Linked DNA regions of Callithrix jacchus. The main gene of each other region encodes a partner of the protein of the gene in region 3 in a complex. Links are inferred from orthologs where the notes say so. Each region holds a gene or a part of one and is shown on either strand. Other genes may lie near its edges. The genes, in order: WASHC3, WASHC4 and WASHC5.

Region 1 (4,081 bases), on a different chromosome or scaffold from region 3:
CATCACTTAAGCCTCTGATTGGTTGTTTCCCACAACCAATCAGATGTTTGCATAGGAATGTGACTGGTGTAACTTCAGTGTCTGATTGGTTGTTTTTCACAACCAATCAGACTGATTGTGGGTCACCACTTCATTTACATGAGGAGAACAACAAGTGGACAACGGGAAACCTCTAGCGGATATTTAAACAGAAGATTCTGTATCCAGACCCTTGAGCTCCCACCTGCTCCCACACTGTGCAGTGTACTTTTGTTTTCAATAAATCTCTGCTTTTTTGGTTCATTCTTTCCTTGCTTGGTGCGTTTTGTCCAATTCTTTGTTCAAAGCATCAAGAACCTGGATACCCACCACCAGTAACACTCCCACCTCATTTCCTACCATTCTCCATTTATGGGATCATTTGCTTCAACCAAACCAAGAGCGCCAGGTGCTGGTGGCTCATTAGAGTCACCAAATAATAATCCCACTGCTTAGGGATCGTTTGAGTCAAGGAATTTGAGGCTACCGTGAACTATGATCCTCACGGCACTCCAGCCTGGGCAACAGAGCAAGACTCCACCTCCCTGCATCTTTAAAACAAAACTGCCCACTTCGGTCCATGTCTTCATCTTTTTGATGCTCATCTTTTAAAAACCTTTGGAAGACTAGGTTTGGTGGTTTACACCTGTAATCCTAGCGCTCTGGGAGGCTGAGGCAGGAGAATCGCTTGAGGCCAGGAGTTTGAGACCAGCCTGGGTAAATAGCGAGAACTAGTGTATACACACACACAAACACACACACAGACACACACACACACACACAAACACACTTTAGAAGTACGTCTTATATCTCGTTCTTCAGAGCATAAACCTTGCCAGTGCAGCAATCGAACTCAATCTTTGTTTTCCCAGCAAGGCCTAGCTAGCAGAGTATATGGCACTTAGGATTTTTTTAAAAATTGTTGCTCAAGGAATGACGGAGCTGTTATATAACAGAACTAAGTAGGGATAACCTCAAAAGGACCCGCAATTTCTGGCTTTTTTGTTTATTTGTTTTTACCCGCCTCTAAGATTTTACTGCTATAACTGCATCCTTGCACCATCACGCACCACCCCGAAATTAACGTCACCATCTGGACTTAAACTACCAATCCCAGAATGCCTAGCGAGGAGGCGGGCTCTCCGGAAGCCCCGAGTGATTGGTGGGCGGCGGCGTTTTCTTCCGCCGGGAAGGGCCCCGGAGGCGGGGATTTGTGGGGGACAGTTGAGACACGATTACCAGGTTGGGCGGTCACCATCTGGGCGGGGTTTGTGGGTGAACTCTGGGTCCCCCGCCCGCTGAGGAGATGGATGAGGATGGGCTTCCTCTCATGGGGTCAGGCATAGACCTGACCAAGGTTTGTAAAAGACGGTGCTAAACTTCCGGCCACCCGGGAGGAGGTTGGGGAAGACGCCGCTTCCCGGGGAGACCCCACCTTCCCGGGCCCCACCCTGTCCCGACCCCAGGCCCTTCTGCCGGCCTCAGGAGGGAGAGCCCCACCGTCTACCTTGAAATAGGGTCCCTCCTGAGCTGATTAAGGAGAAGGTGTGCATCTCCCAACTTTCGCTTCCGGTGTCGGGGGTCTCTAGGTGCCACCGGCGACACAAGCCGGTTGTGATCGCTAGCCCTACCTCTTATTCAGCCCCAAGTTTTTATGTGTGTTTATGTGTGTGGCTTTTGCCTGCTAAAATTCATACTAGTGACGCTAGAGCCTGGTCTCAAACTTTAGTGCATTCTCTGTCATCTTCGGACACCCCACCTACGGTTTAGGACAACAAGTTAATGACTATTCACAGTCTTTCAAGAAATTCATCTCACACAGCAAAGTGCCTCGTGATTATGTCCAGATATTAAAAGGTTTGCACAGTGTACGTTCCTCCTGTATGAATCATGTTTGTTTTTACGTAACACAGGTGCCAGCTATTCAACAGAAAAGAACAGTGGCTTTTCTAAACCAATTTGTGGTGCACACTGTACAGTTCCTCAACCGCTTTTCTACAGTTTGTGAGGAGGTAGGTCCTGTGATACTGGTTTATAGAGTCGCCTAGAAATCACGTTGCACTGCTGAGATTGACAAATGGAGTAAAACAAGAATTACAGTCTTTATTCGTGTACCATGATCTCTTGTCACCAATTGTGTTAACACACCTTAAGTCCTCTTTTCTCTGATTTCTTGCACCCCCTCCTCTAGTGAATTAGTGTTCTAGAAGTCCTCATGAGATAGTTCAGTCAGGCTTATTGCAATTAAAGAGAACAAAAGGAAATCTAAAATTTCTTTCTTTTTTTTTTTTTTTGAGACGGAGTCTCACTCTATCGCCCAGGCTAGAGTGCAGTGGCGCGATCTCGGCTCACTGCAACCTCCACCTCCCGAGTTCAAGCAATTCTCCTGCCTCAGCCTCCCAAGTAGCAGTATTACAAGCATGCACCACCTCTCCTGGTTAATTTTTTGTATTTAGTAGAAACGGGGTTTCACCATGTTGGCTGGGCTGGTTTCGAACTCCTGATCTCAGGTGATCCACCCGCCTCGGCCTCTCAAAGTGCTGGGATTACGGGTGTGAGCGACCGCGCCCAGCCTCTAAAATTTCACAGTTGAAAATAGTTTTTATTTTGAAATTCCTTCTCCTACCCCAGAAATGCATTGTTTTTATTAAAATTATTTTACATTCTAATCTAAAAGATGGCTAGAGGATATAGCCTAGGACTTTGGCATCAAATATGATTATAGAAATAAAAATATTTTCTGTGAATGACTTGTGATGTAAGGATTAAGTACCCAACTAGGGATCAGGTACCAGAACTGGCACAGCAGTGTGCACCTGTAATCCCAGCTGTTCAGGAGGCAGAGGCAGGAGGATCACTTGCACCCGAGAGTTTGAGACCACCCAGGAGTTTGCGTGAATAGTTTTACAAATGAATGTTTCTGTGGGAGAATGAGTGCTGGGAAGTCCTATTCCCCCATCTTGCTGTTGTCCCACCTTTTTCTCCTTTATGTATGATAATCTAAGGTTGACTGTAACTCATTTTCTACAATATATATTTAGGCAATTTGGACATTCGTGTCAGCTGGAGACTGCTCAATGACATGACAACTAATATTTATTGTGTACTTACTCTGTGCCGGACATCATACTAAGTGCTTTATGTGTATTTAATTATCAGAGTCAGCCCTTTGAGAGAGGATTGGTTATCCTACTCGTGCAGATACAGAAACTAAAATGCAGAGAAGTTTAAATCATTTGCTTGGTCATTCATTTATTCAACATATCTTTGTGTGCCCCCAGTAGTTAGTTGTAGCTGCATTCACTACACATACACAGAACGTAGCAGAACTGGATTCCAACTGATTTTTTAACTGGAAAAGTCTGTATCTCATTACTTTCTTACATTGCACTGCCTTATCTGAATAAGAAGCATGTTTATGTAATTTTCGAGTGAGAGAGTACAGTACCAGTACCTTCTTATAGATATATTAAAATCTGTTTTTAGATTCATATTCACTTCTTTGCTGTGCCATGTCTGTTTGATGTAATATTTTTTATGTAAATTCCAAGGATATGTGTATTCAAATGTGAGGTGCCATTTTCTCCCAAGTTAAAGTCACTTCAGTGTTTTGAAATGTTTTTTGTTAATGGCCTCTAGTCCTTGTTTATTTAAAGCCTTAAACAAGAACCAAACTGACTGTTTCTCTCAACAAAAGAGGAATCTCAATTGTTAGTTTTTAAACTGAAAGTGAACTGGGAGGAAAAAGGAAACTTTTTCCACCCGCCACAGGATCTGGTCTGAACCAAACCCAAACTTAAGCAACTTTAGTCACAGATAAACTCTCAAGCCAGAATTAAGTTTGAAACAAATTGCTAGGCTTCTTTCCTCATCAGTGACACTGTTTTTAGAGTTCTTCACTAAAGAGAAGAGTATAAACTGCATTCTGTGAAGAACTCAACTTTTCAAACACTTTCTGCCTATTAGGCTACTTTTATAACTCTTCCATTGATTGGCACCAGAGTAGAAGAGAGATTAGATGACAGAGAAAGTAGTAGAATCAGACCCAAGTTACAGGGGTACT
Region 2 (3,653 bases), on a different chromosome or scaffold from region 3:
TTTCTATCTTGTTTTATTTTTATTTTGACCCTTTAACTACAATCTTATTAAATTTGTGACTGTATAGAAAATTAAAAAATGGGCTGGGCACGGTGGCTCACGCCTGTAATTCCATCACTTTGGGAGGCTGAGGCAGGTGGAACAGGAGGTCAGGAGTTCAATATCAGTCTGGCCAAGATGGTGATACCTTGTCTCTACTAAAAATACAAAAATTAGCCAGGTGTGGTGGCACATGCCTGTAATCCCAGCTACTCAGGAGGCCGAGGTGGAGAATTGCTTAAAACCTGGGAGGCGGAGGTTGCAGTGAGCCAAGATTGCGCCACTGCACTCCAGGCTGGGTGACAGAGTGAGACTTGGTCTCAAAAGAAAAAAAAAATTTAAAAATGATGAGTGGTTTTTCCTCATGATCATAACTAATGGAGTTTAGTAATGTTAGTATTATCTTACTACCTTGCATTTTCTTATACTGCACTCATAATCAGCCACCTTATGCTCTGTAGGACAACTAGAGTTGTAGCAACATGATTGAGTCATACTGGGTCATTTCTTTCCTTATGTGTCGTCTAATGAGATTGTGTTGGATGAAGTAGTTGTTATGGTGCTAATGTTGAGTACAGGATCTAAACAGGTTTAAGTAGAATAAAGCTAATTTCAATTTGTGTATTTAAAATTTCGGTTATTTTTCAAATTAAAAAGAAATGTTCTTTTCTTTTGTTTCTATAGCTTTTGCCTTATGAACAGTCTTCTCTTTTGGAACTCATAAAGACTGAAAACAAGGTACAGAATCCTAAATCTAAAAATGTATTTGAAAAAGGTTTTAGTTATGTTACAATTTACTTTTTATTTTGTTTTTACTCATGAAACTAGGTCTTAAACAAAGTCATCACTGTTTATGCTGCACTTTGTTGTGAAATCAAGAAATTAAAATATGAGGTAATTATTTGAATTCTTGTCTTAAAACTTTAAAAACAGATAATTTAGAAGCAAGTATATATTTTTATATATACAGTGTGCAATAAATATTTATTGAATGTTGAATGAATTATTTATTTAATATAATACTAATACTGACTACCATTCATTAAGTACATAGTATGTGCAAAACACCAGGATAACACTATATTCCTTTAGTAACCCCAGGAGGTAGGTGAGACATTGATGATGACAGGCTTAAAGAGAGTGCCACTTGCCTAACATCTTACTGGTAATTAACAGTTTGAATCTAGGTTTACAAACCTCCATAGTCTGTGTTACCTGCCATATATACTGGCTATGTAGAGAAAACTGATTTTTTTTTAAAGCTTTCAGTCTTTAGTATGCATTTAGTTTGGTGTTTCCTTACCCAAGAACCAATGAAACTCTGGTAGAAGTTGGCAAACTTCATATTTTATTCTCTTGCTTTTTGATGCTGTGCGGTTGCTCTGTATTTCCCATGAACTAATGAGAGGATGTTGGACAGTGAGAGTGGTCAGGTAAGATGAAGTAAAGGCTAAAGGAATCAAGATACAGCTTTGAGTATCAGTAATATTTTTGTTACTCTAAAGATGAATTGCTTCATAAGCAGTTTTTGAATTTAAATGAATTTGTATGTAAATGATGTAGTCCTCTGTTTATTACTAAATATGCAGATCTAAGAGAGCATAGGAATTTCAAAACAAAACAACCTTTAAAATTATTTTAATTTTTTCTTAAAAACAGGCTGAAACTAAATTTTACAATGGTCTCTTGTTTTATGGAGAAGGAGGTAAGTTTAAAATTCAAAATTGTAATGTGATGCCTTTTTTGATAATGAAATGAAAAAAAAATTAACAGACAATTTCAGGACTACTATGATTATATATTAGTGTGAGAAAATAAACATTTGTATTTTTTGTTGGTATGTTTGTTTGGTAAATGGGTAAAAAAATCTGATGGAACAGCAGAAAATTTGTGATATATTTGTATGTTATAAAGTACCATAGCTAGATGATAATTTTCCTTGAATTCATTAGTTAAGCAAATACTTTTAATTATTTGATTAGTGATTGCCTCATTTTTCTCTTTGGTGTAAAAATTCTGTTTTCAATATTCTGTGGAGTAAAAGATGTGTCAATGGAAAAAAAAATCACTTTTTTCTCCTTTTTTGGTGTTGATTGAGTTTAAATTTAAAAAATGAAATACACTTATTCATATTGCCTTTTACAGCTACGGATGCCAGCATGGTGGAAGGTGATTGTCAAATTCAAATGGGGCGATTTATTTCATTCTTACAGGTAACTGATTTTTACTTTCTACTGAGCTTTTACATTGAAGTTTAAGTAAATTACACAACACTTAAAAAGTTCTGAACCTTTCAAATACTAAAGATGTGTACTTTGAGGATAAGACACTTAATTAGCGTTGCATTATAGTTGGGGAGATCGCAACTCCTAAAAGATTTCCACATATTTCTAGTGGAAAAAGACTATCAAAATAGGTTTCTTTGTATATTTTCCTTTATGGACAACTTGTCCCCATGCCTTTCAAAATAATTTAAACTTTGTACCCACTGGAAAAGATAAATTACATCAAGAAAACTTGTTAATGGAGAAGATTAAGCTGTTACATGAGCAATGATGAAGTTTTTAAAGTGGTAGCCCTCGATGCTTCTAACAGCTTGTTTCAGTTTAGACAGCTTTTCGTCACTGCCAAGTTTTAGTGATTGTACGTCCTTTGGCTTACTCTTGATCAAACGAATAAAATAGCTTCTATTTCCTCCTCTCTTTATTTTAAAAATAATGCATGGGCCGGGCACGGTGGCTCAAGCCTGTAATCCCAGCACTTTGGGAGGCCGAGGTGTGTGGATCACGAGGTCAAGAGATCGAGACCATCCTGGTCAACATGGTGAAACCCCGTCTCTATTAAAAATACAAAAAATTAGCTGGGCACGGTGGCGCGTGCCTGTAATCCCAGCTACTTAGGAGGCTGAGGCAGGAGAATTGCCTGAACCCAGGAAGCGGAGGTTGCGGTGAGCCGAGATCGCGCCATTGCACTCCAGCCTGGGTAACAAGAGCGACACTCCGTCTTTAAAAAAAATAATAATGCATGTACAATGTGAAAAAAAAGCAAAAATTGAAGCTAAGGAAAAAATACTCATAGTCCCACCTCTAGTCTGATTGGTTACAAAATTTGTATTTCATCAAATCAGGCATGTTAACATGTACTGTTCAAATCTTTTATATCTTTACTACTTTTTTTTTTTGGTCTATTTGATCTAATTGAGAGCATTTTGTTGATATTATGATCTGTGTTATTCAGGGTCCTGTCTAGAAAACTCCATACAAGGTATTTCAAAAGATGTAGCTTGGAGGATACAAAATAGCAAATATGTAAGATGACTAAGTCTAGAGATCTAATGTACAACATGAGGATTACAGGTAATAAAGCTACCATATATGGGATTCATGCTGAGTGAGTAGATTTTAACTGCTTTTGCCACAAAAAAATGATTTAGCTATGTGAGATGATGGATTTGTTCATGTGCTTCACTAGTAACCTTTTTATTATCAGTATGTGTCCCATAACATGTTGTATACCTTAAATATACACAATAACATTTATTTAAATAAGAGAGGGGATTCAGTATAGAGAATTGGTTACCCAGGAGTTGGAGGACAAAGAAAATACTGACGTAG
Region 3 (3,653 bases):
GTCTCTCACTCACTCTCTCTAATGGATTCATTTATTCAGCTGACATGTATTGAATCATGTGATCAGTAAATGTCAGCTGAAAAACAAATCCATTAGAGAAAGTGAGTGAGATACAGAGATACACGGAGGGGACAATAATGAGGAAAGAGGCTCCGGAAGACAGATTTGATTATCCATTGGCAAGGAAGCCTATAAATTCAGACCTCTCACCTAAAAGTAACTTAAAAGAGTAAGAAATGTGCTTAGATGATGAACAATCCAAGCCCACAGATGGCTGTTTCAAACCCTGGCACTTACTTATTGAGATTCTCCAGAGCAGCTGCCAGATGTTTAGAGTCAAACCGACAAGAATAATTTAATTCATTGGCAATCTGTTGTCTCAGAATCTGCATCTGCCCAACCTGTGCACAAGCAAGAGAAAGAATAGGTAGAATATTCAAGCATTTCAGAGTGACTGAGGAGGTAAACACAAAGATGGCAATTCTTCTCTGGGCCTTCACAACACTCTACAGGAAAAAAAATAAGGATTTCCTGGACTAATCTCTTGGCTAAGACTAGTACTGGACCTGATGGAGCACCAGAGGCCCTTCAAGGAATGTCTGGATGGACTCCCATACCCCAACCTATGGGAGTCATACCCCGAAAGTCTATGATTAACAAAGTGATCTATTAATGTTCAGTTGTTCATGTATCAAAGGTGTCTTTTTTGAAGCTGTATTTTTGACTTTTGGAATAAGTGCTCCGGGTTTAGTAGCTGCTGTGAGAAACCTTACTTCCTTTTATTTACCCTAAATGGAACTTTTTCAAGTCCTAAGAATGCCACTAGACCTTAGTATTCTCAAATTGGGTGAATATTAAGTCTGTCCATGCCACTCAGGATTATAGGTTATATAATTACCTGGATTACAAAATAATCTACATAAAATCTTTCATGAAAATTTTAACAATGATAGCCCCTTAATCCAGGAGTTCTTACATTTTATATCTGATATGGTTTGGCTATGTCCCCACCCAAATCTCATCTTGAATTGTAGTTCCCATAATCCCTATGTGTTGTGGGAGGGACCCAGTGGGAGGTAATTGAATCATGGGGGCAGTTACCTCCATACTGTTCTCATGATAGTGAGTTCTCATAAGATCTGATGGTTTTATAAGGGGCTTTTCTCCTATTGCTCATACTTCTCTTTCCTGCTGCCATGTGAAGAAGGACATATTTGCTTCCCCTTCCACGATGGCTGTAAGTTTCCTGAGGCCTCCGGAGCCATGCTGAACTGTGAGTCAATTAAACCTCTTTCCTTAATAAGTTACTCAGTCTTGAGTATGTCTTTATTATGTGACAATTGACTAATATAGCCTTGGGCCCCTTTGGGAATCTGGTGAAGCCTATGGATACCATTTCAGAATAATGCTTTTGAATGTACAAAATAAAGCATAGAGGGTAACAGTGGAAGCCAATTGTAATAAAATATAATTAACCATTCAAAAAACAAATCTGTGATATAGAATTATGCTAATATGGTGGATTAACTATGGTAATTTAAAAGTAGCTATGAGCATAAATGATATCTGGAGATTATCTACAATGGTTGGATGATAGGAAGCAATCTTTGGGTCAGGCTTGAGAGAGTTCAGTTTGACCTCATAATGTTGTCTACATCATAAGGTCAATAGCATACTCTAACTTTTTCTGCCTATAAATGTCTTATTTTCTACACTAGACAAGGTATTCCTAAAAGACTGGCAAAGGGGAGTGAGGGAGTAGGGGCAAGGGGGGAAGCCAATATTACCATGCAAGCACAATAAGGTGGAAATCAACAATTTCCTCTGAGTTGCTGGGGGCAGAGAAGAGTTAAGGAAAAGACAGTGGCTAAGGCCTGTAATCCCAGCACTTTGGGAAGCTAGGCAGGCTGATCACCTGAGGCCAGGAGTTCGAGACAAAGCCTGACCTAAATGGTGAAACCCCTTCTCTACTAAAATTATAAAAATTAGCTGGGTGCGGTGGTGGGTGCCTATAATCCCAGGTACTCGGGATTGTTTGAACCCAGGAGGTAGAGGTTCCAGTGAGCCAAGATTGTGCCACTGCACTCCAGCCTGGGTCACAGAGCAAGACTGTTTCAAAAAAAGAAAAAGAGAGTGGCCTTCTCTAAGAGTGAACAAAAGTTATTTAGCTGAATGGAGCTTGTAATGGTCAAAAGTGTTAAATGACCTCAGATGTATTATTTTTCAACACTATTCATATATTTTATTCTACTTATATGAAAAAAGTCAATCCAAAAATGCTATTTATAAATAAGAAGTCTTTAAATTTATAGAGTAGCATTATTTAAAAATCAGAATGCAGCAAAGCCAAGAAAATAGTAGGTTCTTTCAGGCCATGTAAAAATGACCCAGAAACCCTGTATCTAGCCCATATCATTCTTTGCTTAATTTTCTATGTCTAGTATACTCTATGTCAGGGATCCTCTTGAAAATATCAATCTAGAACTGGAAATAGAAATAAAGTCAGTTTAATATAACTTCCTCTCATTTAACTCACAATCAGTCTTTGTGAGTGACATTTTCCATTTTTGATACTCACAAACTTCAAGCTTTAATAAGCTGCTGGAGAGGCTAAGGAGCCTGGGATGGACGAGAAACTTATTTTACCCACTCACTTGCCTCTTTGAAGATATCTGGCTTACCATACTTTCTCCAAGACTTTTTTAGAGTTGCACTGTTGAGTATAGCAGCTACTAGTCACATGTGGCTATTTACATCTAATTAATATGAAATAAAATTTAAAATTATGTTTCCCAGTCCCACAACCCACATTTCACAAGCTCAACAGCTAGACAGGGCTGGGAACTGCTGTCATCATCAAATAGCACAGAACATTTCCACTGTCGTTTCTGATCATTAACACTGGCTCAGTGACTGCAAGCACCCTAATTCAAGACAAAAATACAAATTTGTCCTTGGGGCCTTTATTTAAAGATCACTGACTCAGACACAGTCACGTGGCCGATACTAATACTGGCAACTATAACTAATTAGGGTCTGTAACAGCTACTGGACTGAGAGAACCCTCTGGTGGACAAGGGAAAAACCTTCCAGTTTCTTGGAAGAATCCCTGTAATTCCCCCAATGTCTCCTACAGAGTTGGGACTCACAACTGTCCAAACATAAGTGATTTTTTATTCCTCCTAAAAGGTTTTCCAGCAATTAGAAACTTGGCCTGGGATGTGACAATCATGAGGCGAGGGGAAGGCAGACTCACATCACCAGAGGACATCGAGCAGAGCCACGGCTCCTTGCCTTACCCGTTCTGTTTAGTGATCCAAACAACAGCAACAACAGCTACAACTACTCACCAAAATTATGGGAAACATACTGTGAATGTGGCTGAGGTATCAACGAGTGCTGTCTCAATGAAACTTACATAACTGGGAATCAGAGAATGGAACTTTTCAAAATTCCCTTAGCATTCCAAAATTCTAGACTTTTCTACAGTATGTGATACTTTTAACTGCAAATCAGTTTTCCACCTGGAAGTCTACTCTTTTCTACTAGATTGTGAGTTGCTTTCTGAGGAGAGCAGTTGTGTTTCATTTAACTCTGTCTCTCACAACAACTGACAATGCCCTGGGTTTAAGGGATGTGTGAGAATGGGCTGC

Evidence for each region.
Region 1: WASHC5 (region 3) and WASHC3 share a complex: the UniProt entries of both Homo sapiens proteins name them as parts of the WASH core complex. The link is inferred for Callithrix jacchus from reciprocal best matches to the Homo sapiens genes WASHC5 and WASHC3.
Region 2: WASHC5 (region 3) and WASHC4 share a complex: the UniProt entries of both Homo sapiens proteins name them as parts of the WASH core complex. The link is inferred for Callithrix jacchus from reciprocal best matches to the Homo sapiens genes WASHC5 and WASHC4.

What each region holds. Positions count from the first base shown.
Region 1 is NC_133510.1:105,101,497-105,105,577, reverse strand, and holds the start of WASHC3 (WASH complex subunit 3), read left to right. Parts: upstream 1-1,244; 5' UTR 1,245-1,324; coding exon 1,325-1,375; intron 1,376-1,931; coding exon 1,932-2,030; intron 2,031-4,081. UniProt on the Homo sapiens protein: Acts as a component of the WASH core complex that functions as a nucleation-promoting factor (NPF) at the surface of endosomes, where it recruits and activates the Arp2/3 complex to induce actin polymerization, playing a key role in the fission of tubules that serve as transport intermediates during endosome sorting.
Region 2 is NC_133510.1:108,059,906-108,063,558, forward strand, and holds part of WASHC4 (WASH complex subunit 4), read left to right. Parts: intron 1-723; coding exon 724-777; intron 778-867; coding exon 868-933; intron 934-1,698; coding exon 1,699-1,744; intron 1,745-2,184; coding exon 2,185-2,252; intron 2,253-3,225; exon of another isoform or gene 3,226-3,395; intron 3,396-3,653. UniProt on the Homo sapiens protein: Acts as a component of the WASH core complex that functions as a nucleation-promoting factor (NPF) at the surface of endosomes, where it recruits and activates the Arp2/3 complex to induce actin polymerization, playing a key role in the fission of tubules that serve as transport intermediates during endosome sorting.
Region 3 is NC_133517.1:72,328,116-72,331,768, reverse strand, and holds part of WASHC5 (WASH complex subunit 5), read right to left. Parts: intron 402-3,653; coding exon 298-401; intron 1-297. UniProt on the Homo sapiens protein: Acts as a component of the WASH core complex that functions as a nucleation-promoting factor (NPF) at the surface of endosomes, where it recruits and activates the Arp2/3 complex to induce actin polymerization, playing a key role in the fission of tubules that serve as transport intermediates during endosome sorting.